Pelodiscus sinensis: one gene and its partners. Each later gene encodes a partner of the first gene's protein in a complex. Links are inferred from orthologs where the notes say so. Each region holds a gene or a part of one and is shown in the gene's direction. Other genes may lie near its edges.

What was found.
Region 2: HDAC2 (region 1) and RBBP7 share a complex: the UniProt entries of both Homo sapiens proteins name them as parts of the core histone deacetylase (HDAC) complex. The link is inferred for Pelodiscus sinensis from reciprocal best matches to the Homo sapiens genes HDAC2 and RBBP7.
Region 3: HDAC2 (region 1) and SAP130 share a complex: the UniProt entries of both Homo sapiens proteins name them as parts of the mSin3A corepressor complex. The link is inferred for Pelodiscus sinensis from reciprocal best matches to the Homo sapiens genes HDAC2 and SAP130.
Region 4: HDAC2 (region 1) and ZNF541 share a complex: the UniProt entries of both Homo sapiens proteins name them as parts of the histone deacetylase complex. The link is inferred for Pelodiscus sinensis from reciprocal best matches to the Homo sapiens genes HDAC2 and ZNF541.

What each region holds. Positions count from the first base shown.
Region 1 is NC_134713.1:81,522,060-81,529,945, reverse strand, and holds the start of HDAC2 (histone deacetylase 2), read left to right. Parts: upstream 1-4,871; 5' UTR 4,872-5,029; coding exon 5,030-5,081; intron 5,082-7,886. UniProt on the Homo sapiens protein: Histone deacetylase that catalyzes the deacetylation of lysine residues on the N-terminal part of the core histones (H2A, H2B, H3 and H4).
Region 2 is NC_134711.1:210,747,423-210,755,248, forward strand, and holds the start of RBBP7 (histone-binding protein RBBP7), read left to right. Parts: upstream 1-4,820; 5' UTR 4,821-5,111; coding exon 5,112-5,127; intron 5,128-5,315; coding exon 5,316-5,460; intron 5,461-6,194; coding exon 6,195-6,340; intron 6,341-7,826. UniProt on the Homo sapiens protein: Core histone-binding subunit that may target chromatin remodeling factors, histone acetyltransferases and histone deacetylases to their histone substrates in a manner that is regulated by nucleosomal DNA.
Region 3 is NC_134720.1:5,765,071-5,772,395, reverse strand, and holds the start of SAP130 (histone deacetylase complex subunit SAP130), read left to right. Parts: upstream 1-4,321; 5' UTR 4,322-4,460; exon of another isoform or gene 4,461-4,469; intron 4,470-5,463; 5' UTR 5,464-5,469; coding exon 5,470-5,581; intron 5,582-6,214; exon of another isoform or gene 6,215-6,326; coding exon of another isoform or gene 6,327-6,327; intron 6,328-7,099; coding exon 7,100-7,325. UniProt on the Homo sapiens protein: Acts as a transcriptional repressor. May function in the assembly and/or enzymatic activity of the mSin3A corepressor complex or in mediating interactions between the complex and other regulatory complexes.
Region 4 is NW_027465999.1:199,480-206,907, forward strand, and holds the start of ZNF541 (zinc finger protein 541), read left to right. Parts: upstream 1-4,422; 5' UTR 4,423-4,508; intron 4,509-7,428. UniProt on the Homo sapiens protein: Transcription regulator which is essential for male fertility and for the completion of meiotic prophase in spermatocytes.

The sequences.
Region 1 (7,886 bases):
GAACACTATGCCCATTTCCTGACAAAGGGATTAAAAGTGCAAGAAGCACAAGTTCTTCACATGGTATCTCCTCCATGTTGTTGGTGCTGATTATCAGAAACATGCAGACCCAAAAGATGGCCCTGCAGGATGGGTTGGAAAGCTTGGATAATTTTTGGTAAGGTGTCACAGATGACCAATCAAGTTTTTCCAGTAGATCATTACCAAAAGTTTTGTGTGGTTATAACGGGGGGAGATGTTAGGAAGCACATGGGTTAGGATGGTTTGACTAGAGTCTGTGTAGGACAATGTGACAGACCATATCCAGAAACTGTAAACCTAGGGTGGCTACTCATTGTGGATTCGCAAGTACTCAGCTAAATTCCCACAGATTCTGGCAGTGTAATCATGCCCTATGTTAGGGCTGAAAAGAAATGCCTATCTTTTCCAGCAGTACAAAATCAAAAGCACTTTTCTTGGAGGCTGGCTTCTTAGACATCTGAATTTTTTGTTGTAAAAATGAGAAAGGTGCCTGGCTGAGGATGGGAGAGATGCCCACTTTATGACTCATAGTCCAGTGGTTAGAGGACTTACCTTGAATGTAGAAAACAAAGATTCAATTCTCTGCTCTGCCTGACAAATGATTTGAACCCCTTAACACTTTCATAAGTAAAATCATTGCATGTAATGTGGCATAATATAAGTCGGGCACCCTCATGAATAATTATTCTTGCTGGAAAACATATAAAATAGTGGCATGCATGAAAATGAGAAATATTCACATGTTGAAGTTGTTTTCATGAATTCACAAAACCAATATAGTTCAAAAGAGAACCACTCATGTATTTTGAAGAGAGGCACTGCAGATACTTTAATTTTGTTTGCAAGAGTTGCTGAAGTAAAATATTTACTGAGATTTGTATTACTTTGTTAGTTCCCTAGAGTATTCTTCTCTCTCTCTCTCTCTCTGCATATATGCCAATCTATTGATGGCTGATATTACTCACTATAGCCATGGGAGTAAAGTTGAGCACAGCTATAAATCTTCTGCTAGACTTAATGACCAGTATGTATAACAAAGTACTCTGAAGTTAATGCAATGGTGTATATACAACTGTTTTGAAGATAGCTAGAGCCGAGTATATCATAGTCCAGCAGATCTCAAACTGTGGGTCAAGACCCCAAAGCAGATCAATTTTAATGGGTTCACCAGCACTAGTGTTAGACTTTTACTAGGGCCTAAGCCTGAAACCCAAGTTCCACGGCCCCAAGGCCAGAGCTAAAGCCAAATGACTTCAGCTCTATATGGTGGGGCTCAGGTTACAGGACCCTTGCCCAGGGTGGCAGGGTTTAGAAGGACTCAGGCTTCAATCCCCTCTCCTAGAGTAAGGGAGTAGTTGCTGTTGTCAGAAGCAGGGTGCACTGAAAAGCAAGAATTTTTGCGCAAGAGCACGTCCACACTGCCATCTGCTTTTGTGCAAGAGCGTCCATGACAGTGTGGAGGCTCTCTTGTGCAAGAAAGCTCTTATGGCCATTTTACCCATAAGGGTTTTTTGTGCAAGAAACCCGTTGCCCGTCCACACTGCCTTCTTGCACAAGAAGGCTTATTCGTCATGGGGAAAGGAATAACTCTTGTGCAACAAGCCCTCTTTTCCGATGCTTTACTGTAAATTTACTTGCGCAAGAATGCATGTGCAGTGTAGACAACCATTCTTGCGCAAGAAGCCTGTAGTGTAGACATAGCCTACAGTCTCTGACTGCTGCTATAGACCACATAGCTGTGACAATCAGCCATGGGTGCCATTTAGGTGGACTGCAACCCAGTCCTAAGTTTCCTACTATACCAGGACACTGCCTCCCCTCAGTTTTCTTTGTTTACTCTGCTCCCCCTCTGCTTCACACTAATCAGAGTGAAAGAAATGCAGGCCCATCAAGCACAGCAAAAGACCCAATCAATGCCAACTGCTGCTTGGCTCCTGGCTGAAATCAGCAGCTAGGTTAGAATCTGAACTCCTGAGATATTGGTTCCATCTTGAGAAGTACAGAACTATAGCAGCAAAAACAAAACACAAAGGTGAGCTGTCACCTCTTTGGCTTACTCTTCTCCCCTCACCAGCCAGACAAAAGCTATCTAAGCTCCTGTTCCATGCCAGGCTCTCCTCGCTACCTAGGATGGCAGTCTCACAATCTTGAGTACCTTCAGTGAATCATAGAACTGGAAGGAACCATGAGAGGTCATTGAGTCCAGTCCCCTGACCTCGAGGACCCAATATCGTCTAGAATGTCACAGAGGTGATGGTTATACCCTCAAATGCTTAGAGCCACAGCCTAGGTGCCTCCTTCCAATACTTTGTATTTATTCATAACTATTTGCATAAACAATTCAGTGCACATAAACCCAAGCCAAGATTTGTCTGACAAAATGGCTATGTCTAGACTGGCATGATTTTGCGGAAATACTTTTAACGGAAAAGTTTTTCCGTTAAAAGTATTTACGCCAAAGAGCGTCTAGATTGGCAAGGATGCTTTTGTGCAAAAAGTGCTTTTGCGTAAAAGCATCCGTGCCAATCTAGGCGCGCTTTTGCGCAAGAAAGCTCCGATGGCCATTTTAGCCATCGGGCTTTCTTGCGCAAAAAATTTAGGTGCCTGTCTACACTGGCCCTCTTGCGCACGTATTCTTGTGCAAGAGGGCTTTTCCCTGAGCGGGAGCGTGAAACTATTTGTGCAAGAAGCACTGATTTTGTACATTACAAAGTCAGTGCTCTTGCGCAAATTAAAGCGGCCAGTGTAGACAGCTAGCAAATTTTTGCGCAAAAGCAGCCACTTTTGTGCAAAACCTTGCCAGTCTAGACACACCCAATTTGTTTTTTATAGATCTACACTGCTAACATCCATCATTTAATTATATTCTTTACAGTGAGTCCTTTTAAAGGTATAGACCAACGTGGTACAGGTTGTACCTCCCTTAACTGGGACTCTGTGGTCTGGCACATCCGTGATCCAGCACGGAGCCCCGGTATAGGGAAGTCAGAGTGTGGGGCAGGAGCGGCAGGGGGGGCGCGGAGACTCAGCCGGGAGTCAGGGCGCAGAGAGGCGGGTGGTGCAGCAGGCGGCCAGGTGGGGGGCTGGCAGCGGCAGCCATGGAACTCTGGCCCTAGCCATAGAGTTCAGGGACTGCAGCGGCAGCCACAGAGCTCCAGCCCCCGGCTGTGGAGCTCCAATCCCAGCGGCAGCCAAGATCCTGCAAACAGCAGTGAGGCTAGGCTGGAGCCCTAAACAGGGTAGCAGGACATCCTGGGTAGAGGGACCTCCCCTGGTCCGGCAAATCCCCTCATTTGGTACTGCTCAAGTCTCCAGGGTGCTGGATGAGGGAGGTCCAACCTGTAATAAAGAAATAGTTTAAATAAATAGACTGGACTACTTTGGGGTTATTGCTTTTTGTTTAAATGACTGTATTGATTGAGTAGAAATCTGGCAATTCTATTTTTGTTGATTTTTCCCCGCCCAGATGACATCATGAAATTATCCCTTGCTTTAGTTCGTATCTGGGGTATTGTTTTTCAGTAATTTATTTACTTTTAAACATTCCTGGAAAGAATTAATTCTCTCATTCACCTCTTCACAATTTGGACCATAAAACCATGGGTGGTGGGGGAAAGGCCCAGCTGGGATAGACAGCAAAGGCTCTGCCCCTTCCACCCAAAGCCACACCCCTTCCCAAGATCATGTCCCTTCATAACCTTTTCTCCTCCCCTCCTCTATCGCCACCCGAGGTCAGTGGCATCTGAGTGTCACGGATCCAGCCTTCCCCAGTCACCGAAGAGCAGGGTGCCAGCCATGCAGCATTGCCCTAGCCTTCCTGGCCACTGGACTGGCAGCTGTACAGTCCCAGCTTTCCCTGGCTGCTGGGCTGCCATGGCCCCAGCCCCTTCTAGGTGGCTGGGCAGTGTAGGCAGTTTTGAGAAGGCAATGCCTTCCCTTGCCTAAATTACCTGCTGCCCATGCATAAGACTTTTTTTAAAAAATACAAGGCTAAGCAGATTTTATTTCTCTCTACTAAAGATGGTATCAAACTTGTATTAAGGCTCCAAAACTGACACCTCAAGATTTGGGGTTGGAAATATCTTGCTGCTGCATGTTCTAAACGTAGGAATAACCTTAAAATGGGGCTCTAATGGGTATTTGTGATATTTTTCTTTATACAAGACTTAGGACCGCTGTGCCTGTCAGCTGATTTCTGAGACACCACTTGAAAAAAAAACTCGGGAATTTCCAAGTGCATAAGTAGCCTCTGGGGTGCAATGCTGGTTAAAGCCCTCCTCCCCCATCCCTAAATCGGAAATGGCGCCCCAGAATGGGGAGACAAGATGGGGGATTTGCGACCAGTCGCGGCCTGTTTGCAACGAGCTTGTCTGAGTGGCCGCTTCACGCCGGCCCCGCCTCGCACCCGGGGGCAGGGTGGCAGCTGCGGGTGCGCTCGTGCCGCCCCTCTGGGGTGCCGGGTCAGACAGCGGAGCCTGGAGTGATGCGCAGCCCCGCCCCGCCTCCTCCCAAGCACGTGACGCGATTCAGACCGATGGTGGAGGGGAGGGGAGTGAGCTTTGCGCATGAGCAGACACCGTCCCCATTGTGGGGAGGGGGAGAGAACGCGCGCGTCGCCCGCTACCTCGCGCAGGCAGTCTGGCGGGCTGTACCACTGTGTAACACTGCGACAGGGGGAGAGGCCCCATCCCTATTTGATTTGTCAGGGACGCACCTCCCGCCGCTGCCTCCCGCTCGGGCCGGCCGACGGTCGGTCCGCGCGGCTCCCCATTCAGCGCCGGGGGGGAGGTGTCGGGCGGGCCCAGCCGAGCTGGTGGCGGGAGTCGCGGCGCTACCCGGCCCTTTCCCCCCCCCCCCGGGTCGGCTGCAAAGTGAGCGCGTCCCCGTTCCCCGCTGTTGATGGTCGGGTCGGTGCGTTGCTCCTGCCCCCGGCGTCGCGAGTTCACGCTCGCTCGGCTCCCTCCTCCCTCCCTCCCGCCCGGCTCGGCCTCAGCCTCCCGGCGGCCCCATGGCGTACAGTCAGGGCGGCGGCAAGAAGAAAGTCTGTTATTACTATGACGGTGAGCGGCGGGGCCCTGGTTCCCTGCGATTCCCTCCCGCCCCCCCCCCCCACGGGGCTTTCTCCGTCGTGCCCCTCCCCCCCCCCCGCTCCCCGCACCTCGGCGCGGCGCTTCGCTCCAGTGTCGGGGCGGCGGCGGCCGATCGCAGCCCCGGTTCCGAGCGACGCGCCTGAGGCCGCTGGGCTGAGGGGTTCGCCAGGGGCTGCGCCCGGGCTCGTGCGTAGCTGCCGGGGCGGGGGAGCGCTCCCGCTGGGGGCCTGCCTGTCGCTTGAGGAGAAGCGGGCGACTGGTGGGTCCTGAATCTCCGCGGCTGCCCCTAGGTCCTGGCAGCCTCCCCCGGCCGGGCAGACGCTCGGGTTGCTGTGCGCGCTCACCTCTTGGCTCCGGATGCCCCTCGGCTCATCACAGCAGCGCACTAGGTCCTGTGGCTTAACCAGTCATCCATAGCTAAGCGGTGCTTGGGATTTGGGTTGCACTGAGTTTCAGGTGTTGGCAGCACGCCCTGAAGTGGAAACCCGTCTGTCCCCTTTGCTTGCTAGGCTAAAGGTATTGCTCAGCTCACTCGTTTGGAGCTAAATTTCTACATAAAGAAAGATGCCTCGGAACTACCTATTGAGAATGGGTGGCATAGATCGGGAATTTTGATATTGACTGCAGTGAAGAAAGAGGGGATGAGGCTGCTTTGCAGTACCTATTTCATTGCCTTGTCACAGTTTGGGATAAGGAGAGCAGTATCATCGGCCCATGATGATGCCAGAAGTGCTGCTACTATGGTAGCTCTGTTGGTCAGAAATTCCAGACCTGAAGAAGAGCTCTGGGAGAAAGCTTTCTCTCCTCAATAGAAGTTGATCCAGTAAAAGATATTACCTCACCTTGTGTAGTCAGAAAAAACGGCAGTTTTGTTGGGGCCTGGTGAGGGTTTTCTAACATGCTGGCAAGTTAGGCAGAGTGATGTGGTTGCCGCCCCCTTCTCTTTGTCCTTCACTCTGGTTCTTTGTTCAGCATAAGGGCAAAAGGAGGCCCTGTTAAGGAAAATTTTACTGAAACTGGTGTCTGACTTTTCTCTGGAAGAAGAGTAGACAGTCTTGCTGAAGGGAAGATTACATTGCTATTTTAAGTTATATTTGCCAGTCTGTCACTAAAAATGTAGTTACGTGGTTGGGCAGTGTATTAGAGCAAAGTACATTTGATAAATATGGGTACCATTTCACTAGAGTTCAACACTGGCATTTAGTAGTAGCAAAATAATAATAAGCGCCATTGCTTGGGTCTATGCTTCTGTGTTGGCAGGGTGATGAGCTGATAATTAAATCAGTCCTACTATCTCAGACATCCATGAAAGTGGCTGTTCTTTGGTCAGTTGGAAACTCAGTATTTTCCTCTATTATTGTTCAGACTTCTAATTATATAGCTATTCTCTGGATCTAAGAGAGCATCTTTCCCATTATCTAATATGATCATCAATATTTATAGTATTCACCTGAGTTAGAATGTTTCAAAAGACTTTTTTAAACCTGAAACCAGTATTGTATAAGATGTCAAAGTCAATGTTTATTTTAGATTTCTTAAGTGTAATAGGTTAAAATTTAGAAATTAGCAGTATTCATCAGAGAAATTTTAAGAACTAATTCTGATACTTGTGAGGAAAGTTCCTAATCCACTTACAGTTCACTCAGCATTTCTTCTAATTTCTATGCTGTGCTGTACCCACACAGGTTTGTAAATGTTCTTACTACTGAATGTAAAGGGAAAAATGCTTACAGCCTTAAGGCTACGTCTACACTGGCGTGATCTTGCGCAAAAACTCTTTAGCACAAGAGTTCTTGCGTTAAAGTAGTTGTGCAAGAGAGCGTCTACATTGTCATGTGCTTCTGCACAAGAGATGTGCTTTTGCGCAAGAGCATCCTTGCCAGCGTAGACGCTCTCTTGCGCAAGAAATCTCTGATGGCCATTTTAACCATAGGGCTTTCTTGTGCAAGAAATTCATGTTGCCTGTCTCCATTGGCCTCTTGCGCAAGAACAGTTGCGCAAAAGGGTTTATTCCTGAGCAGGAGCGTCAGAGTTCTGATGCAAAAAGCCCTGATTTCATACATTAGTACATCAGTTTACTTGCGCAACAACATGCAGCCAGTGTAGACAGGCAACAAGTTTTTGCGCAAGAGCGGCTGCTTATGCACAAGATCGTACCAGTGTAGACGCAGCCAGTGTGATCTAAAAGTAGTATAGTTAAAGCCCTATTATCTGGCACTTAGGTAACCTGAAACCTCAATTAACCAGCATTTCTGATATCTGCTAATGCAAATCTTCAATCTAGTGACTAGGACTAGTATGCAGCCTAGCACAGTCGTTGCCAATAAATAAAAATGCAGATCTTGCCATTTAGTGTTATCCTTGGCTTTGCTTTCCCTTGCTGAGTTCTCTGATCTTGGGCTTGTAGTTTGACACTTTAAGCAGCACACAAGCCTCTGTCTCCAGTGCCACTCCTCTAGTGATGATAGCAGAAGAATGACATCCTGATCCTCCACCACAGCAGCTCCCTGGCTCTCCCATGCCACACTGCCGCCCTAGCTCCTGCCCCAGAAGCAGCAACCACAAGGCCTTAACCCAGCTGTAGTCCTTTACCAGGGCTGAATCTGGGGCCAAAACTGTGTGGTGACTTCCCAGCTGTCCTGCATGGCGGCCTGATCACCAGCGGTCCCGGGCCTGCCCCAAGCAGCGGAGGGGCCACTGCTGCAGCCATGTGTTCCTGGGCTGACCCAGGGCGCTGGAGGAACCGCTGCTGCAGCCACACAGTCCCTTGCTGGC
Region 2 (7,826 bases), on another chromosome or scaffold:
TGCTATTTTTATGAGCCCGGCTTGCCATTGCCAATCAAAAACTTCTCTTATTCAGTTCTTCATTAGCTCTAGAGGCATCCTTTCCACATCCAGGCTACTCAATGCTGCTTTTATTGAAGGGAGGAGTCCTAAAAACAAAGATTTCCGGAATTCGGGGGTATCGTGTATCACATTTCCATCCATTCCAGTGCTCAATCCTGCCAGTCTTTGGAGAAATTTTTTCCTGATGAAATAAAGCTCTGGCCTTTCTCCTTCCCTCTGTTTATCCGAATAATATCTACCTCGAATGTCATCATTGGGGTAGAATAGATCATAAAGAGCCTTATACATCCTATTAAAATCAGGATTAATCGAATTGGCAAGATCAGCTGGGAAAGCAATAAGGTCCTCAGGAAGTAAGCACTCTTGCAAAACCACCAGCATATCGTCACTGGTTAGGTTGGTTCTGGCTAGTTTAGCCATCCAGTCCAGTGCATTGTTCTTTCTGCAAGGGCCTAGATTTTGCCCTACAGCTCTGGCTTGCTCTGGTGACAACACTCGTCTTTCATATTTCACAATAGGGTTTGGATCATTAGGGTGGAACACCTCAGTGGTGACAATGGGTTCCACCATACCCTCTACCAGCTCATTAGTTAATATAGTGTTCTCATAAATGTCCTTTTCAATGCCCTCGTTGATAGCAGAAACGAAACCTCTTGCAAGGCCTAGTTTCTGCTCTAGTTCTTTCAACTTTCTCTGGCATTCTGTGTGATCCATTGAGATGGGTTTAACTTGTCTTTTCTCATTTAATAGATGTCTCGCTGTAGCTTTAGAATCATTAAATCTAGCTACTTTATCAGTTATTTCACTCTCTAATTGTTGACATCTATTAATAACATCCTCCATTTGATGCGATAGCGCATCCCTCTGTGAACATAAGGTATTGTATTTGGTTTCTCTCAGAGCCAAATCAGCTTTTAATTTATTAATGGTAGAGTACTGTGCCATTCGGATTTCTAGCGAATCATTTAATTGCTTACTAAGAGCCTCTACCTCTACGTCTAATGATCTAGCCACCATGGCTAATCCTTGTATAATGGCTGCCTTTTTAGTCTTTTTATTAGGCTTGGGTTTGGTCTGAACAAAGATTTCCCACATTACTTTAAAATTCTTTAAACAATCTTTCCCTTTTAAATCACTTGCATCCCACACATTCACACTTTTAATAAAGACATTAATATCTTCTTCAAGAAGGATTTTATTTGACTGCTCTGCTGTCTTGCTGCCTTGCAGTCCAAAGATTCGGGGTGCCTTCTTGGACGCCATACCTTAAACTTGTAAGGGTCCTACCTTACCTTTATAAGTCTGGAAGAAACCTGGGGACTTCTGTGTTATCAGAGACAGTAGGCTGATCAGGCCTCTGCTCTGCAGAAATTCTCCTTAAGCTATTAAATAAATAAACTGTACGCAGCAGACTGCGCAGCACCTTTGGGGCGCTCCACGCAGTGAAGCAGCAGTTGCTAAGCAACCCGCCGGTAAACATTCCACACTAGGCAACGCTCTGAACCCCGTGAACATTCCAAAATGCAAATTGACTTTATGCAAATGTACTTGGACCGGTCAAAATGCAAATTAATTTTATGCAAATTAATCTTATGCAAATTAATCTTATGCAAATGGTGGAACACCTGAATGGAGGAACGTTCCAACCCAAAATGGCTACCCCAAACTTAAAATGGCAGATCGCCAGCACACCTGAACATTCTAAGAAAAACCTCTAAAGGGGTTTAAAATCTTAAAGTGGTGGAACGTTTATTCCATTGATGAAACGTCCTGAACCCAGAGGATTACCGCCTCTAAAGGGGTTTTAAAATGAGGTGAGTAACTTTGTCTTAGCAGCAGCAAGCCACCTCAAGGAGACCCAAAACAAGGGACCCTCAGTTTTAAACCTTTTAAATTCAGGTTAAACTGCCCAAAAGACTACTCCTTGAATTGCTTAGCTTGGCTCAGAAGTAGGACAAGCTAAGCCTTATCTCAAGGTAACACAGCTTAAGGATACCTATCCCCTCCTTGTTACCCTCTATCTGCCTAAATCCTAACAAACCAAAACCCACAAGCCACACACTTGATGTTCATTTGAGGTATGTACACTTAAATAAAAAAACTAAGAACTGACACTCTGAGAGGGTCCTGCCGCGGTTGCCACAATTCTGTTACCTGTCTATCGAACAGAATAAGGAAGGTCAAAAGTGTTTAAAGACACTTCCCAAAGAGTTAGTTTAATAACCCGACCAATCCGCAAGGTTAGTTTCTAATTCATTACATTTCTTTAATACCTCCTCAATTTGAATATTTAATGCATCTCGCTGTGTGCGTAATTTGTCAATTTTGGCATCCTTTATTTTAATTTCATTAACCAACTCCCTATTCATAAGTTTTCAAATTCAAACAGTCAGGTATTACTACATGCCAGGTGACTAGAGGCTAATGGTTTCTTAATATGATTGACAGTTTAGGTTACAAGAATGATACACATTACAAGACATGGGTCGCAGAGGAGCATCCTCACCCTGCTTAGCCACACGATCACCTTGGAAGAGTAAACCGGGAGAACGGATAGGGTCTCCGGGAAATGTACCCGCAAAGTGGTAAAACGGGAGTAGGCCCCGGCCTGCCCCGATTCCCTCCCCGAGTCACTGGACCGTATACAGCTATCTGTTGTTGATGCGTGCATCTATGCTCCACCCCCATAAGTGGGGGTGGGCCCAGAGGACTAAACCAGCCCACACCAGGTTCTGCCGCGGTTGCCAAACTGTTACTCGGAAGGCTGAGGTAAACAATGGCTGTGGGCAATTAATTAAAGCCTAATGCTGCCTCCCCCACAGAAGCCAGATTCAACCTGGAACACGTATTTATCACCCTTGGGAAGATAGTCAGAAATCAGGTCAGACCCGAATTTAGGGCCAAACCCTATATTTTAGAAAGATAGCAACACGCATCAACAACAAGAACCACAGTAAGTGACCCACCCTAACCTGGAAGAAAAGAGAATAGAAAAGATCCCGTATACAAAAGGAATATACTTTACAACAAGAATTGAAGGCGGCAATGGACGTCTGCGACCTCGTGGCTAATTTAAAGGAAGGACAGCAGGCAGATCCCTTGAAGTGGGGTATCCTCACCTCCATATGGCTGACACACTCCGGATTCCTTGGCACCAGTCCCTCGGCTTGGTGAGGCTCCGCGGGTACATAAACAATGGATAGTAAAGTCCCATAATCCAATGATACCAGTCCCAAAGTCCTTAGAGAGGAGACTTCTCTCACACCTCAGGAGGGCACAGTTAGTGTTAGACCTGGGCGGCCTTGACCAGACCACGTGCGGATGGCGCTTCTTAGGGGTGACGGCAGTAAGGCGGGAAACTGGGTTAGCGAGTGGGGTGCAGTAGAATAGGGCGGTGTGCATAGGAAAAAGGGTGCAAGGTGCATAACCTGGCTGCGCACACATCGCATTAGAGGGGGGTGCATAGGTTAGCATTCCTCCGTGTGATTTTGGCGGGAAGAAACTGCTGAGGTGATAATGATCAGTAGACTCCATTTTGAATCACTAGCCTGGGTAACATGTGCAAGAACGCACTTGCAGTGTAGACACCCAGCAAGTTTTTGCGCAAGAACAGCTGTTCATGCACAAAAAGTCTGCAGTGTAGACGTAGTTATGTCCACTCTGCACGCTTATTTCAAAATAGCAGAGTGCACGTCTAAACAGCAAGGCTATGTCTACACTGGCGTGTCCTTACGCAAAAACTCTTTTGTGGAAGAGTTCTTCTGCAAAAACTCTTCCAGAAGAGAGTGTCTATACTGGCATGTACTTTTGCGCAAGAGCATGTGCTTTTGCGCAAGAGCATCCATGCTAGTGTAGATGCTCTCTAGCGCAAGAAAGCACTGATGGCCATTTTAACCATAGGGCTTTCTTGCGCAAGAAATTCATGTTGCCTGTCTATACTGGCCTTTTCTGGAAGAGCTCTTGCGCAAGAGGGCTTATTCCTGAGCAGGAGCGTCAGAGTTCTCATGCAAGAAGCCCTGATTTTAGACATTAGGACGTCATTTTACTTGCGCAAGAACACGAGGCTAATGTAGACAGGCAGCAAGTTTTTGCGCAAGAGTGGCCGTTTTTGCGCAAGATCGCGCCACTGTAGACACAGCCCAAGGCTGTTATTTCAAAATAATTTCAAAATAACAGGCTTCTCCGACTTCTCCCTTTGACTTCCTGCAGTGTAAACAACATCAAAAGCAGAGTTAAGCTACTTTGACATCAACTATATTCCAGTTTTAGCTCCAGTGTAGACGTGCTCTGAGTGTTGGTCTGGGCAGACTGGGTTATGGCACTACCATCTTTGTCAGCTCTTGATCAGGAAGCTGCACGCCCTAGTCAGAACCCCACCTGCCAGCAAGGGAGGCTCCCTAGAAGACGTTCTCTCCCTGGGGGCTGGGAAGAACATCTTTAAGAGCCAACCCTGCCGCTTCAGAAACCAGCCAATCAACACAGCCCCCCATTGACTCTTTTCAATGCATCTGAGGAGTCTGAGACAATCGTGCTGGGGGCGGGAACCGCGTGGGCGTCACAGCGGCAGGCTCTAGGGCAGCGTTGACGTCACTGCTGATGGGGCGGGGCCAAAATTCTCTACGCTGTTTGTTTGGCAGCATCAAACCGGAGAGGGGCTTGCCAGGCCCTCCTTTGCCCCGCCCTCAGGTTGTTGGGCACTCTCCTGCTACGCATGCGCTTCTCCGCCTCGCTGCCTGAGTGAGCCCCGGAAGGGGCGGTGGCCGGTGGGCGGGAACGTTGAACTCTGGCTTCCTTGTTGCACGCGCATGTGGCGCGCGCGCTTTGGCGTCAGCGCCGCCTCTCATTGGCCACTGCCTCGGGGCCGTCGCGGGGCTGACCCGGAGGAAGAGCAGCCGGGGCGCTGCGCACGCGCATGGGCGGTTGGGAGTCTGGGACTCCAAGCCAACGAGGCCGCCTAGAGCCCTGCAGGCCGGCGCGCGAGCGGCCGCTTTTGAACCGCGGCGGAGACGGCGGCGCCAACTCCGCCCGGGGCAGGGGCGCGCAGCGCGGGAGGGAGCCCCAGTCACAAAATGGCGAATAAAGAGAGTAAGAGCCGCGAGGGGGGACGCGGGAGAGGGGGGGACGACGCGCGCGCGCACCTCAACCGGCTCTCTTAGGCCCAGACGGTTGTCGGTGGGGGGGGGGCGGTCCATTGGGGTGGGTATTTCTCCCCCCCCCATCACACACTTCGGCTCCCAGGAGCCCCCGCCTAGCGCGCCTCTCTGCCCGCGCAGTGTTCGAGGACACGGTGGAGGAGCGCGTCATCAACGAGGAGTACAAAATCTGGAAGAAGAACACCCCGTTCCTGTATGACCTGGTGATGACCCACGCGCTCGAGTGGCCCAGCCTCACGGTGCAGTGGCTGCCTGATGTCACCAGGTGGGTGGGACTCCTCCTTCCAACCCTCCCTCCAGGGCCCCGCTTCAAGCCGCCTGCCCCGCAGGGTTGGCAGCGCCCACTGAGACGTCCTGGGAAGGATAATCCTAGCAGTAAAGGGTTGCAACCAGTCAGTGATACCTATATTTCACCAGGACTATGTAGCACTTTAAAGACTAACAAGATGGTTTATTAGATGAAGTGGGTCTGGCCCACGAAAGCTCATTATTTAATAAACCATCTTGTTAGTCTTTAAAGTGCTACATTGTCCTGTATTTTACTTCAGCTATATTTCACCAGTCAGTGATACCTTCGGTATCTGGACTACTCTTGCTGCACTCTGTAGAGAGAAAAGCTGCCTGTTAGATTATCCAGGTTTGATATGCCTATTTAATGTTAAATGCCTTTAACTTCATTAATACGGATTTTTAAGTCGGTGCTGATGTCAAAATGCCTCTACTTAATGTGTACACACTGTTGTATTTACACTGTTCAAGCATAAACAAAGTTTTGTTAAAAACTTACTTGTCCAATTTACTGATGTCAAGAATACCTGGGGTTCAGCTGGTAAACATGTATGTGGCTGTGCCTAATGTGTCTGGGAAAAGTGTTTTTCCCAGTTCATCTGTAATCTCCCATAGAAATTGGGATGTTACAGAAGAACTTTATCTCTCAAAATATTTACTAATATGGAATAACTGTTCTACTTTTGTAAGACCGTTTGTTTTATTGAACAGGCCTGAAGGAAAGGATTATGCCCTTCATTGGCTAGTATTGGGAACACATACCTCTGATGAGCAGAATCATTTGGTTGTTGCAAGAGTCCAGATTCCTAATGATGATGCTCAGTTTGATGCTTCTCACTATGATAGTGAGAAGGGAGGTGAGTATTGCAGGAATTGTTGATTGTGTTCTTTTAGCAGTAATGTAAAACAGTGCCTATTCTGTTTAATGGTGTTCTAACTTGTAACCTTAAAAACATTTTTTCTTAAGAGTCTATTTGTATATTAAAGTTGTTTTTAGTATATTGCAGTGCCTCTCAAGCTTTCCAGACCACTACAGGCAGTCCCCGACTTACGCGGATTCGACTTACGTCGGATCCGCACTTACGAACGGGGCTTTTCTCGCCCCAGAGCCCACCCATGTCCTCTGGGGCGAGAAAAGCTTCTCCCGGTCTCCCTGGTCTGCTGGGGGGGTCCAGCAAAGGTGCTGGACCCCCCCCCCCCAGCAGACCAGGGACACCCGAGCAAAGCTGCCGCCTGAGCGGCTTTGCTCGTTTGCCCGGGAGCAAAGCTGCCCAGGCGGCGGGGGTCCCGCTGCCTGGGCGGCTTTGCTCCCGGGCAAACGAGCAAAGCCTCCCAGACGGCGGCTTTGCTCGGGTGTTCCTGGTCTGCTGGGGGAGTCCAGCGGCTTTGCTGGACCCCCCCCCCCAGCAGATCAGGGGGACAGGAGCAAAGCCGCCCAGGCGGCGAGGGTCCCGCTGCCTGGGCGGCTTTGCTCGCGTCTACCTGCTCTGCTGGGGGAGGAGGGGGTGTAGCTAGTGCGCCCCCCTCCCCCCTCCCAGCAGACCAGGCTTTTGTTGCGGGACGCCTCAGGTAGAGCAGCTGGGGTGCTGCCAGGTTGGTCCTGTGGGAACCTACCGGGCAGCGCCCCAGCTGTTCTGTCCCAGGCTCCAGATTCAGCAGCTGTTGAAACTGATCAGGCTGATTCCAGGAAGCTGGGGGCAGAGCAACTCTGCCTCCGGCTTCCTGTAGTCAGCCCCTGGTCAGTTTGTGGCAGCAGCTGAATCTGGAGCCAGTTCCAACTTACATACAAATTCAACTTAAGAACAAACCTATAGTCCCTATCTTGTACGTAACCCGGGAACTGCCTGTATACTCATTTCAGGAGTCTAATTTGTCTTCCACACCCCAAATTTCACTTCACTTAGACCTACTTGCTTCAAAAATAGATTTAAAAATTACAGAAGTGTCAGAGTATATGTAACTAGGCAAGTATCTGGATGAGTTGATGTATACCCTGGAAAACCTCTAATATCCCTATGGGTACATGTACCCCTGGTTGAGACTCAGTGGTTTAAAAGTGTAGTTCTAGAGCCTTAATATATTTTAGTCTAGAATGACCCTTTTAAAAAAAATATCTGAAACCCGATAACGTGCATTAAGTCAAGTCAGTATTGGAGAACTTCCTGCAAGAAGTTTCCTGTTTCGTATAGGTATTGACTTGACTAAGTTTTTCAGTTGTGACACTAAAGCTGTGATCACCAACCTGTCGATCGCGATCGACTAGTCAATCGCAAGGCCTCGACCAGACGATCATGAGGTGTTTGGGCTCCTCCAGGCCTCATTTTCCCCCCACCTCCGAGAAGC
Region 3 (7,325 bases), on another chromosome or scaffold:
ACAGGAGGCTGTGAGCTTTTTCTCTAGAAAATTAATGGCTACATGGTGGGTAACAGATAGCCTCCGGAGCGATCAAAATCTGTGCTTAAATGTGGGACACAGTGAATTAATGACCTATCTTTGTCACAATTGATAAATAATGTGTCTGACTACAAAAAACGCACCTTTATGCTTCTCAAGCTGTTATCCACATGTAATTTCTTTCCCTGTTTCTGGCAAGTCGGACATCGCACAACCTAGTTTAGATTGAAGAACACAATCACATTACTTTTTCCTTAGATCATTAGTACTCCAAGGGAACAGAGTTCACCTTTCCACAGCGAATATATATTTTCTTAATTTTATAAATCATGAAATTGTATTTCAATAGTCAATGTCTTTCTTTCTGAATTACTGTCAAATCTTTACATACCTAATCGACAATGTCTCTCATCATCCCTGGCCAATAGTATTTTGAAGTCATGATATTCCTAGTTTTGAATATTCCTTCATGTCCACCCATGAAACTGTCATGATACCGTTCAAAAAGTGTCCGTGCTTCTTTCATGGTATGCACAACGATAACCTTTCTTCCTTTGGCTGAATGGTACAATGTGCCATCTGTTGAATATAGAACATGGATCAAAGAGGATGAGTAAGGTGATTGCCTGCTGCAACAACCAATGTTACATCTCTGTTAAGCATCTTCCCCTGTATCTCATTTCCTGTTCACTCATTGGTATTGAAAAATTATACAAGACACACATAGCAAGGAAATCTATACACTGTATACTTCGTAATTGTGGGAGTACAAGGTGTGACTTTCAGTGTATGATTATGATTATTTATTTGTTTTGTAAATTAGAAATCATTGCTCACTGACCAGATAGTGACTGCTGTTGGTGCCTTGCATCACAAAGGAGAATATTCATAAGACATGAAGAACAGTGATAATTTTAATTTTCAAAGAATTATAATTCTTACTAATTTATAAGGTAACTGACCAATATTTTTCATGTATGCATAGATAGCAATATAATTTTTAAATGAACTGTGAATGAAGGTAATGCTGACAATCACAGTAACAGTGAAGGTAAGGTAAACATTCCAAATAATCCCAGTGTTGGGACAGCAGTACAATCCTGTACAGCATGTATCATCCATTGTAATGTGATTATTCTATTAAAAAAAGGATTCCTTGCCTTCCAAAGAGAATCTACTAGCAAATCTTCGAAGGTTCAATCGTCCAGCCTTATTCATTCCTTCAGGATATGTGTTACTCGTTATGTATGCCAAAACATTTTTAATGTTGTCCTCAAAACATTTCCCTGAGAATTGTTCAGAACAGGAAACAGCTAGTGAATTGGAAAATGGGAAAAGCAATCCATATAACAGTCAGTTCAAGTAGAAAATATGAGATCTACATTGCGTACATATAAGCAACGTAAAACAATATTAACAAGGCCTGATTGTCAAGCCAGTGACAACAGACAAATTAATTTAAGGAACATGCATAATTCTCCTGAATGTATGTGTTACCAAAGAAGGATGTATTCCATCAATGATGATCTAATGTTTTTTGAGATTGATATCACCTAGATCCTTGATTATAGTCATTGCTTGACAAATAATTGAAAACACTACTTGACAGACAAAAAAGGGACTGAACACCCCAAGTTAATAAATTCCGACTAATAATAAGAACAGTAATTGCTAATACGTTATTAATAAAATATCCTCCCTGTTAGCAATGCATGTATTATAAACTTCAACTTTTTCCCCTCTGCTTCCATGTCTCCTCCCATTGCTCCAGTAGCTACCCTAGTGACTGCTGCCTCCTAACTCCTAAAACTCATGGTTCATAAAGCAAATGAATGCACAATAAAACACTTTTTTATGCATATTGGACAAGTAAACGTACCTTCCATAATGATGTGTGTAGTAGAAGAAACTTTTTGCTTGTTGAAAATATATGGGGAACAGATACTGTGGAAAAAGTATTAAGGATGTGAATTAAAAGAAACACCTAGAACATATACATATGAGTATCACTTGATACTCAGTACTGCAATTAAACAATCATTTAACAGAAATTTTAATTGTTAAAATTAATATATTGTAACTAGATTATCGAGTAAATTGTATATCACTGTAATGGCTCTGAGGTTGTGCACAGAATTGGTCCCTGTTACAGATATAGGAATGGGGTGAGCTTAGCAATTATATCATTGTCCTGCTTGTAGTTACTTATGGTCTCATAGGGAACATATTTTTCAACGTTGATAATTCACCACCACACTGTAGCTCTATTGCAGGAACTAGGTTACTCAAGGTTGTTATATTCCAAACTTTGAAACACACACAGACACTGCCACCCACTAACACAGAACAACTCAGAGTATTGTGTAATCATCACTCTCAGTGTGACGCATCATGGACTCTGCATGCTGTGTTTAACAGCAATGCCACACTGCACCAACTATGCTTACAGAGGTAGTTTGAGGTGGGGGAATGAGAAAGAGAGAGAGGGAACTCACCACTCTGCGGAGCTGTACACTGATCAGGGTTCCCAGATGGTGAAGGTATCTATGTGTCCAGATGGTTGAAGGAAAGCACAGCAGAAGCCACAAAACGATCAGAAAGGAGATGGTGTTGCTCTCTCAATGAAGCTTCTCCAGTATAAAACTCACTATGAACAAAAGTTTCACCAAGGCTTAGATAGGAGAATACTTGTAACATAAACAGAGGTGTGAGCAAAGGGAATGTTTTTCCTTGATGGAGGTCACAAAGCAGCTAGGCAGTTTTAGTGTTTTGGATGTCAATAGGATCATTACTATCATTGGTAAGATACTGAAGAATGAGGATGTTAGCAGCACTGGCTTCAGAATCTGATTGATCTGAAATTCCACATGAGAAATGCACCCCTCCTGCACCCAAACTCCATCCCAGATCCTGAGCACCAAACATGGCCAAGTATCGGAGGGGTAGCCGTGTTAGTCTTAATCTGAAAAATCGTTGAGGAGTCCTGTGGCACTATCTTCAGTTCGTCTATAAGGTGCCACAGGACTCCTCGCCCACATGGCCAAGTGAAACTTTTGTGATTCCTCTGATACTTGGCCATGTTTGGTGCTCAGGATCTGGGATGGAGTTTGGGTGCAGGAGGGGTGCATGCTAAGGGGAGTTTGGGGGACGGGTGTGGGCTCTGCCATGGGTCAGGAGATTGCAGTACAGGAGAGGGTGTGGATGGGAGGGACTTTAGCACATCAGCACAGTACACGAGAAAGGAGATGCAGTGACTTCAGATAGACATAGAAACTAAGAGAAAACTATTAAATACTCCAAAAGCAAGAGGCAGAGTTTGAGACAGGAACTGTCTGTAGAATATTTCACACTTGTACACATACAGAGGAAGCATTGACCATCTAGGAATTGGGAAGCCGGTGCCTTTAAGAACTCAAGCCCAGGAGCCCCCCCCCTTCCTCCCCTCGGGGCTGACAGGCAGCATCCAGGGAAAAGAAAAAAAGAAAAAAAAAAAAAGACTTTGCACCCCTGGCAAAACGATATTTACAAGGACATCAGGTGGCTCGTCCCGCAGGGTGACTGTTCCTACCTCTCCCCCTCCCGAAATGGGGGTTTTGTCCACGCACAGGGTCTGGCACTGTTCCCCCCGCCCGGGGTTAATCACGGCTACCCCCCCACCCCCGATTTTTCAAATTTCGCTCCTCTTCTGCCGCTAAAAAAAGCAGCTTGATCCCCCCAGCCAGTAAATTTTTGCCCCCTGATCAGACCATGACCCACACCCCGTTGAAATTCGCCCCCAATAATCATGTTAAACCCCTCCAAAGAGGAGGGCGCAAATCCTACAAGCCCTGGGGGCAGAGAGGGCAGCGGCTCCAGCAAGGCCACTGAGTTTGCTCAGTTCGGGTGCGCACGCTCAGTGCACCCAAACTCGCAAATGTGGAGTAGCGTTCTGCTCGCTGCACCGGCCGGGCAGAGCAAGAGCTCGCCGCTCGTGCCGCCGGGGGAGACACCGCACGCGCTCGAGCTGCAGGCCAGAGCAACAGGCTCAGCGACACACGAACCCTGCCACGCTAAACTCCGCCCCCCAACCCCGATCTCGCGAGATTACCTTGTTCTCCTCTTCCTCCCGATCCGCATGATATTTCCCTTTAGGCCCAGAATCGCGGCTGTCTTGGCCAATCGCTGCTCAAGGTCTGGCCCCGCCTTCTTCCGCGTGCCGGCGAGATTATCCCTGAAGCGCTCTCGGGTTAAACTACTTTTCCCAGAAGCCCTTTCGATGCCGCCGTTTCAACCCAGATTGGGCGGGGTCACGCGTTGTGGGCGGCACCAACCGGAGCCAATCAGGCGGAGGGTGGCTGCGGCGGTGGAAGGAGAGAGCTTGAGTCCGAGCATTGGTGTCAGCGGGAGAAACGGATTCGCAGGCGGCTGCGCGAGGCCCCAGCGCGCGCACGGGACAGCAGGTAGCCCAGGTCAGGGACGGCTCCGCGTGCCGCTTGGGCGGGCGGGCCAAAAAGGGGGGGGGTCTCGGAGGCGGGCTCCGGATCAGACCCGGCGGCAGAGGATCGCGGGAGGCTGGACGGAGGGGAGGAAACCCGACGGTGGTTTCTCAAGGGCTAGGAGCGAGGGGCTACTTCTCCGGGGGCGGGGCGCTTCTTCCAGCCGCCCCATAGGTGCCAATGGCTTGTTGGTGGCCGTTGCGCTTTATTGCTTGTGAACATCCGGGCTCTGCGCGTCCCTCACAGCGAGGTGGGTTGGGACTTGGCGTGGACAATTGCTCCCTATTGGCCAGTGCGTTCTTATCCTATTGGCTAGCTCTCTCATGAGGTCACTAGTGGGCTGGGCTCTCGATTGGTTGAGCGCACGAGCCTAAATCTGCGTTCGATTGGCTCGTGGCCCAGCTTGACCTTGGATTGGTACAGGGCTATGACGTAGTCTCCTTTATGCCACCCAATCAGCGAAGGGGCTAGTAGCCGGTTTATGGGGCTCTTGGTGCGAGGGGGGGGAAGTGGGTACTTCGCGCGCGAGCGCGGGGGGGGGATACCTGAGGAGCTGGTGCCCATTGCAGGAGGCGGTCTGGTTGCTGTGGCACAGCCTCAGGGTGATGCTGTGCCGTGCCTAGCGCGCTGCCCTGGTCCCTGCAGTGCGCCCTGAAGAAACATCCCTCTCCCTTCCACGTCTGGTCTCTGTCATCCACAACCCAGAGCAGCACCGCCCTGCCGGGTATCAGACTGTGGGAGCGTTGGGCCCTGCTTTCCACCTTCCTTTACCAAGTGATAACGTGTCTGCTTTCAAACCAGCTTTTCCCATTAAAATGCATGCCCCTTGTTCCATGGGGCTATGTTACAAATTGTCACCTCATTCCCTGCATGATAGGAGAGCGATCACATCTCTTCAAGTGTGAGCGTCTTAGGCTGAACATATTGCCAGGATTATGTTGCTTACAATTTTCATCACATTGCGCAGGTGGAAATGAGTTCTCAGCAGTTTCCCCGTTCTGGAGCCCCTCCTGCAGGACTAGGACAAGCACCACCCCCAATTTCAAACAGTGGATCTACAGGGCTGATAAACCCAACAACCACAGGTAAAACAGCTATGGAAGATTCATTTTTCCTACCAAAACAATTTCATTCTGAGGAAGTTTGAGACCGTTTGCTGCATGCTCTGCAGAACTGTATTAAGATGATTGGATGTTTAAACACATCCAAGACAGACATGACTCAAATGCTGATATAAATAGGTATGTTAATTTGAAGAATTGTAGTAAGCTCTTTTTTCACACCCCACATGTTGTACCGGATAAGTGTGGGCGGGGAATATTCAAGTTGCCTTAGAAAAACAATGTTAGCAAAAACATTTTGACTGTTTAGAAATCATCTAAAAAGTAAAGTATAGTTGTTGTACAAGATATTAATTGGCCTTTCTGTTGGGGAGGGGAGAATTGCAAAGACATCACAGGTAGGTGGAAACTAGGGAGTGGCTTCAGAACAAACTATACACCCATGAACATAGGCTGTGTTCACCTATAAATAGAAGTGCATGATTAGCTGATGTATTAAAGGGATATTGTCAGAAAGTGGATTAAAATGGTTTGTCAATATTCCTTTAATTAATTGCTAAATGAGGGTATGTATCTGATCATTTTCAAGCCCGTGTTAGAAATACCTGTTACTGTTTCATTATCTCCATAACTCTTGATTGGTGTTTGATGTCTTAGGTCCCAATTCTGCAATGAGATCTGTGCTACCAGATGCCTGCCCCGGGGACCTGGAGCTCATTGCAGGATCAGGGCCTGAGTAGTGAGTTGCCACATTACTGATGCCTCCAGCAGTAAGTCAATATGATCTTATAGAGTAAGATGGAAGGAAGCATGTTTTTAGAATTCAAATTCATAATTATGGTAGGAGATTCTGAGAGAAGTAAGTATAAAACAAATTCTAGGTAGGTTTTGATTGCCCTAATAATCGTGTTTAAAACACAGTTTACAGCTGAGCTTCCTGTGCTCTTAAGAATTTATGAGGTGGAAATAAGGTAGAAATTCCAATTTTAGTCTAATTATCACTGTCCAATGGGGCAGCTTGTGTTCTGTTTTTGTAGATTTTGCTTTGATGATTTATTTTTATTTTTAATTGGAGAAAGTAGTTAGACAGTCTTGCATTTAGTGAATTATTTAATAAAAAAAAAATTGCATACATGCCATGAGGCCTTAGTCATTGTTGGATCGGATGGTCTCAATCAGTTTATTTTGTTACTATGAATTAGATTAAAAAGAGGCTACAGTTAGAGGTTTATTTTAAGAAGGATGATTGTGTCTTGTCAGTGACTTGTGTTAGACCATGATGTGTGGAGATAATCCTTACGGCTCAAAGAGGAATACAGAGCACACTTTGCAAGAGGATTAATGACTTCTGGAGACTTTTGTTTTTCAAGCAGGTTTATATTATACCAGGATTAGTAATGTCTCTTGTGCAGGAGGTTTTAAACAAACTGCCTTTGTATGTGTACATTTTGCACTCAATTTGAGGGCTTGTTGGCAATGAGTGCATACTTCTTTTCCATTTGTATCCTTTTCCTTAGAGTTCCTTTTTTCTTTCCTCACCAGTGAGTGATGAATCTAATCGAGAGTCAGAAATTGGTCCCAGAGAGCACATGGGCCCCAGTGGCTCTCTACAGTCTCGTGAAGAGAAACAGGAACCGGTGGTTGTTCGGCCTTACCCACAGGTTCAGATGTTGACACAACACCATCCTGTCCAATCTGGTGCTGCCGTTACAGTGACAGCTCCACCAGCACATCTGACTCCAGCAGTGCCACTTTCCTTTTCAGAGGG
Region 4 (7,428 bases), on another chromosome or scaffold:
ATTCCTAACAAAGAGGTCCTCAGGCTGTGTGATGTCATGGGCATGGAAGCAATGTTTATGAACAAAACAGTTTCATGGTGATGTCATGAGAACAGATGATATATGGATGCTGAAGATGGTCTTCTATGACCAGCTTGTTCATAGAAAGCACTCTGTTATTGGTGGTTATTATAAGCATTATAAAGATATTTTAAAGGCCAATGTGAAGTCAAGTGCTGTATCTCCCGATGACCTGGAAATCATAGCTCAGGATAGACTATTCTGGCAGTAAACTATTGAACAGGCTCTCAAACACTTCAAGAGTCAATGTATCCAGACATTACAGGAAAAGTGCAGGATCTGAAGAGTTCACAACATCTACAGAGGGCAGATTTTGATGTGACCTCTATAATCAGATTTGCCAAACAAGCATTGGCTTAGTCGCTCACCAACGGTGTCATAGAATATGAGCTCCATCGGTTGAAGGTTCAGTACACACACCCACACGCAGAAAATGCCCATTAAAATGTCTTTTGAACTCAAACATTTTTTTGTAAGTATGCAAATCAAATATGACAGCATTTTGCTAAAAAATGAGAATCAACCGCTAGAAGGTAACTGATTGACTTTGTTCCAATCCAAATGAAGTACAGAAAGAAAACTAACAACGTAATGATTGATGTCAAACAAGACATTTAAAATCTCTTGAATTTTAATCAGTGCTTTTTTTGTAAGGGAAAAGGTGTAGGTACTCTGGGGCAAACTTGTTGAGCAAAAAAACCAGCCTCATGTCGGGGGCTGAAATGTGGTCACGGCCCCTTTAAGAGCCATAGTGCTGCATTGGGAGCCGGGGGAAAAAAATGCCGCGCGTCCCAAGAAGGCTTCCGTCAGGAGCCGAGCTGCCCCAGGAAACAGGTGCCAGTATGTTCAGGGAAAATCCCATTCTTTTTCTGTGGGCTGGGAAAATAGGTGACAGTACGCCATTGTGGGCACTACCAGCACAAAAAAAGCACTGGTTTTAATAATCTCACTGGTTATTAGGCATGTGAAGGGGTAACTGGTTACCCAATAAGCATTACCCTTCCTCAGTGATGCTATCAGGTAACAATTAACTGGTTCCCTGGGAGCAGCCCTACCTATAGTCCCGTGCCAGAACGATTCTCCCTCCTGGGATCCTTCTTAGTCACTTAACCAGTTAAACATTAGGTTAACCTACCATTTAATGGGTTACCTGGTTCATTGGAATTTTACATCTCTAGCACTGGTTACATCAGAAAAAAAGGAACATTTTAAATATAGATAGAGACAAATTCAGGTCCGGTTTGGAGCCGAACTAGAAATAAATTTGGCCTCTAATTTCTAACTTGACAGGAAAAACATTTAAATGATATATATTTTTAAATTAGATATTCTCTGTCCTGAATATCTCTCTCTATATAAACATAAAATGTAATTATTGAGATCTGTCTTACACACATAGTTTTGTATGTAGTATATTAGAGGCAGGGTTCATATGGTTCAAAAAACCTGGACTTTTTTTGAGTTGCAAGTTTATGGGCATGTTTTCTGGTGGAGCCAATACTAAAGCAGGTTAATAACATCTCTGGCCACTTTCCCTTTGTTCAGATGAACAGGCTTTAAACACCAAATCAAACAAAAACATTAAAAAAAAAACCATGAACAGGACATGCCATATTTCCAAAGCTCTCTTCCCAGCTTCCAGAGTAAGCTGTCATCTGCTTTCTCCTGAAATCTGTCTAGCCACTTTTTAAGGCTTTCAGCTTGATTACCTGAGCTAGAGATAGGAAGCCTGGGGCCTCTCCATGCATTCTCAAGTTCAGGGGAGTCACTCTCATCCTAACCTACTTGACAGAGTTGTACCATGTCTGAACATGATTGCCAGCAATTGTGGTTAGCTGACACAGTAACGAAACCGGATCTGAATCAGGACAACCCTTCACCTTGTGTAGTCATTTATATCAGTTCAAAATGGATTTTATATAAAAATGCCACATAATCTTGCCAACCTCATCATGGCAATCCCAGATCTATTCTGCTAATAGTACTTTGAAATCTACGTTTATTTAATTGCAATGGATAGCAGCAAATGTCACAATTACATAATCAAAAGGATATTTGATTATTTTCCTGTTCTAAACTTGCAGCTTTATTGACATGGAATGTTTCCATAACCATGGAAATGGTAGACTATAATAGGCCCTGTTATAGTAAGTGCAGTAACTTGATGTGTTTGTTCAAATGCTGATACATTTAACATTGTTCTTTATTTGACTGGTCATGATTAGCATTTGAATTTTAACTGAAATAAATTAAATTAACTTAATACTGTATTAAGGTAAATGGTGGAAGTTCACATCTCTCCTGGTGATGTTTCAGCCTGAATGTTTTAAGCTGAAAACCAAAGTACATTAGAGAAATTTACAGTATGAAGGGCTAGCTGTTGAAAATATAAAACCAAAGCTGTGATCACTTGTCAAACATGTAATATTGAATACCAATTTAATGCCAGTTTTAGCTCACTGATTAGTATGCACACAGCTTTCTACTGAAATGCAACCTCTATGGGATAGAATACACCAGCTATTTCTTCAAATGAAACTGCAAAAAGAGTTTTAGTAGATAGAATTGTAACACCCCAATGAAAATTACATTAGCACACAAAGGTTAATAACTCTGATCATGAATAAAAACATTAGGCTTGGCTTCCCACACCCTTACACCCCATGTAGCTATGTAACCCTATGTCACTTTGTAGAAAGAGGTATCATTTTTATGTGATAGCATTTTATTTATCCTTTGCACTACTGTTCATAACTACACAAGGCACTGGGGTAGTCCTGTTTCAGGCTCAGTTTCATTACCATGTCAGTTAACCACACTTGTTGGCAATCATGGTTAGGCATGGTACAACTCTCCTCATCTCCTGCAACACTTTACTCTGTAACACCATGAGACATTGGAATCACATGCCCACAACAGAGGAGTCTTCCTCTCTATAGCCTTGCCTGGACTAGTGATCTGCTTCCTTTTTAGCCAAGAGTGTAGTTGCAAACCCCTACCATACGCAGAGTAAAATGTCCTACCAAGAGCAAACCCCTACCATATGCAGAGTAAAAAGTCCAAAAACCATTATTAGAATCAGTGCACCTGCTTAAAATTGGGGTAAATTCATCACATTTTTCTTTTTTTTTCTGGTTTGTGATGTGCTATAGCTTTAGAAAGATGTTCAATTCACAACTAAATGAGCCACCTTTGGGAAGGGAGGGAGGAGTGAGGAAACAGTCACAGCACCGTCTCACCTGCTTTTTCTCCACTTTTCTCACACTTTCTCCAAACTGTGCTGTTACACTTTCTGCCTCCCGTCTCATAAACCTCCTCCCTCGCCTTACATTTCCCTCTATAGCCCCCTCATATTTCCATCCCCACCCCTAACCAACCCCTTCCTTCTTTGGGCTTCTTCCTTTTTGCATGGTTCCTACCTCCCCCCCACCCCCCCACAACTAGTCTGTCTCCATACTCCTCCCTCACAGGTCCCACTCCCCAAACACTTACTCTCACTCCTCCACCTGCACCTTCCCATATGTCTCTCCCAAGCTCCCCTTCACAATTCTCCCCCTCTCTTCATCACACCTCCCCCTCCCACAACACCTCCTCCTCTCAACACCCTCATGTCTCTCCTCCCACTCACGCATCCGCCATCTGTCCCCTCATAGCCTCCCACCTTTGCATGTATCCTGCCCTCCTCTCACCGCCCCCTCCCCATCGTCTCCCCCTCCATTACCCCCCACTCCACTTCTCCCTTCCCTCCCTCTCCTGCCTTCTCTCCCCTCCCCCCTGGCCCCTATGTCCCTCCTCCAAGCTCTTCCCCTTCCCACCCTCCTCTCCACTTGCCTCTCTCCTCACACCTCCTCACCCCTCCCCCGACCCGTATGCCCCTCCCCTCCACTTGCCTCTCCCCTCACACCTCCTTGCCCCTCCCCCGACCCGCATGCCCCTCCCCTCCACTTGCCTCTCCCCTCACACCTCCTTGCCCCTCCCCGTCCTGCATGCCCCTCCCCTCCACTTGCCTCTCCCCTCACACCTCCTCGCCCCTCCCCGTCCTGCATGCCCTTCCCCTCCACGTGCCCCTCCCCTCACACCTCCTCACCCCTCACCTGCACGTGCCCCTCCCCTCACACCTGCTCGCCCCTCCCCCGTCCCGCATGCCCTTCCCCTCCACGTGCCCCTCCCCTCACACCTCCTCACCCCTCACCTCCACGTGCCCCTCCCCTCACACCTGCTCGCCCCTCCCCCGTCCCGCATGCCCTTCCCCTCCACGTGCCCCTCCCCTCACACCTCCTCTCCCGGGTTCTCACCCCTCCCCGCCCCAGAACGCCTCGTTTCTGCCTCTCACAAAATGGCGCCGCCGCTCGGCCCCGTTTCCCGCCCAGCCCGGCGTCACGTGACCGCGGGGCGGGGCGGGGCGGCGCCGCGTGCCGGGAGCGGGCGAGAAGGGCGCGAGGCGACGGGTAAAGTTGCTGGTTCCCGTGCGCGGCTCGCTCCCCTCAGGCGGCGGCTGCGATTCGCAGCGACCCCCCCCTCCCAGGGCAGCCCCCCCTCCCCAGGGCAGCCCGGGACAGCCCCCCCTTCCCCAGGGCAGCCCCCCCCTCCCCAGGGCAGCCCCCCCCGCCCGGGACAGCCCCCCCTCCCAGGGCAGCCCCCCCCGCCCGGGACAGCCCCCCCCTCCCCAGGGCAGCCCGGGACAGCCCCCCCTTCCCCAGGGCAGCCCCCCCCTCCCCAGGGCAGCCCGGGACAGCCCCCCCTTCCCCAGGGCAGCCCCCCCGCCCGGGACAGCCCCCCCCTCCCAGGGCAGCCCGGGACACCCCCCCCCTCCCCAGGGCAGCCCCCCCCGCCTGGGACAGCCCCCCCTTCCCCAGGGCAGCCCCCCCGCCCGGGACAGCCCCCCCCTCCCAGGGCAGCCCGGGACACCCCTCCCCCTCCCCAGGGCAGCCCCCCCCGCCTGGGACAGCCCCCCCTTCCCCAGGACAGCCCCCCCCTCCCAGGGCAGCCCCCCCCTCCCCAGGGCAGCCCGGGACAGCCCCCCCTTCCCCAGGGCAGCCCCCCCCGCCCAGGGCAGCCCCCCCCGCCCGGGACAGCCCCCCCCTCCCCAGGGCAGCCCGGGACAGCCCCCCCGCCCGGGACAGCCCCCCCCTCCCAGGGCAGCCCGGGACACCCCCCCCCCTCCCCAGGGCAGCCCCCCCTTCCCCAGGACAGCCCCCCCCTCCCAGGGCAGCCCCCCCTCCCCAGGGCAGCCCGGGACAGCCCCCCCTTCCCCAGGGCAGCCCCCCCGCCCGGGACAGCCCCCCCCTCCCAGGGCAGCCCGGGACAGCCCCCCCCTCCCCAGGGCAGCCCCCCCCGCCTGGGACAGCCCCCCCTTCCCCAGGACAGCCCCCCCCTCCCAGGGCAGCCCCCCCCCCTCCCCAGGGTAGCCCGGGACAGCCCCCCCCGCCCGGGACAGCCTCCCCCTCCCAGGGCAGCCCCCCCTTCCCCAGGGCAGCCCCCCCACCCCAGGACAGCCCCCCCTTCCCCAGGGCAGCCCCCCCCCCGCCCGGGACAGCCCCCCCTCCCCAGGGCAGCCCGGGACAGCCCCCCCGCCCGGGACAGCCCCCCCTTCCCTAGGACAGCCCCCCCCCCAGGGCAGCCCCCCCCCGCCCGGGACAGCCCCCCCCCTCCCCAGGGCAGCCCGGGACAGCCCCCCCTTCCCCAGGGCAGCCCCCCCTTCCCCAGGGCAGCCCCCCCCGCCTGGGACAGCCCCCCCCTCCCCAGGGCAGCCCCCCCTTCCCGGGACAGCCCCCCCTCCCCAGGGCAGCCCCCCCCCCCGCCCGGGACAGCCCCCCCCCTCCCCAGGGCAGCCCCCCCCCGCCCGGGACAGCCCCCCCTTCCCCAGGGCAGCCCCCCCCCTGGGACAGCCCTCCCTTCCCCAGGGCAGCCCCCCCGCCCGGGACAGACCCCCTTCCCCAGGGCAGCCCCTCGCCCCGGGGCAGTGCCCCCCTTTCCCTGGGCAACAACCCCCGCCTTCCTGGGCAGCGTCCCACTTCTCAGGGCAGTGCCCCCCTATCCTGGGCAGGGACACCCCCTCGCCAGGTGTAGGGACCCCCCCACCCTAGGGATGGGACCCCCGGCCCAGTTAAGGACTCCCATTCATCCTCCCCTGCCAGCCACCTCCAGGATTCTTCATTACAGACAGGGACCTCCCACCCTACCCACTAGGGCAGGGACCCCCCCTCTCTGTGGGAACAAGTACTCCCCCACCCATCCCCGCCAATGGCAGGAAGTCTCCCGTCCATTATGGACAGGAAGCCCTCCACACTCATCACCTCCAGGGCCCGGGACCCTCACATCACTCAGGGACCTCTCTGCCCCCTCACCCTCAGCACAGTTGGGAATTCCCCTGCCCATATGTTTGGGGCGGAGATCACTCCCATGATAGGCAGGGACCCCCTCCCATCTCCCTAGGTGGAGGGACACCCTATTCCCATCACAGTTGGGATCACCATCCCCATCATGGGTAGGGATGTCCCACACATTCTTAGGGGCATCCCTCATAGGGAGGGAGTTATTCCCTCCAGGGGCCAGGATACCCCTCCATCATAGTCCAGTATCCATCCTACAAGGGTCAGGAGCAGCATCCCCCTTCCCAATTTGAGCAGCAGCCTTATCCCCACCAGGGGAAGGAACCCACAGAGTCCTACCACCAGAGCCAGGAGCAACTCCCCAGGGGTAATATCAGTCCCTTTGCATCCCTCCGGACAGGTAGTCTCTACCCAAACAGGAACTCTCCCCTCCCTTTGCTACCATGGACAGCAGTCTTCCCCATCCTCACAGTGCCAGGAGCATTGTCCCAACCCATTTGGGCCTAGAGCTAGAAAACAATCCCCCCTCCTTGCCAGAGGCTGGCTGACTCCTCCCTCCTTTTCATCTCTCACAGGGCCAGGGGTCAGAGTGGATAAAAAGTGATTTAAACATTTTTTTATTCTTTTGAAATTGAAATCAGATGTATTTACTTAAATGCATTTTTCTTTTTAAAAAATAAACCCATTGAAAATTAAAATTGAAATGTTCAACCTATATTAAGACATACACATTTACTAAATTAAAATCATTTAAACTAAATACAAATAATTCAAGAAGCACGTTTGCTATTGAAGTTTAAAGTAAAACAATCAGACTGGTGGAAGTTGCCAACTAAGCACCTAAAACCAGAATTTGCTGATATGCTAAACCAGATATTGACAGCAATAACCTCTTCAGGTGCAAAGAATACTGTCTTCAGCTGAGTTTATTCAACTAGTTTAGTTCATTGGCCAGTTAATATTAAGTTCTTTCACCTCAATTCAGCCTAGGAAAGGTGCCACCACCCTTCTTATTCTTCAGAAAAGAATGAGGAGG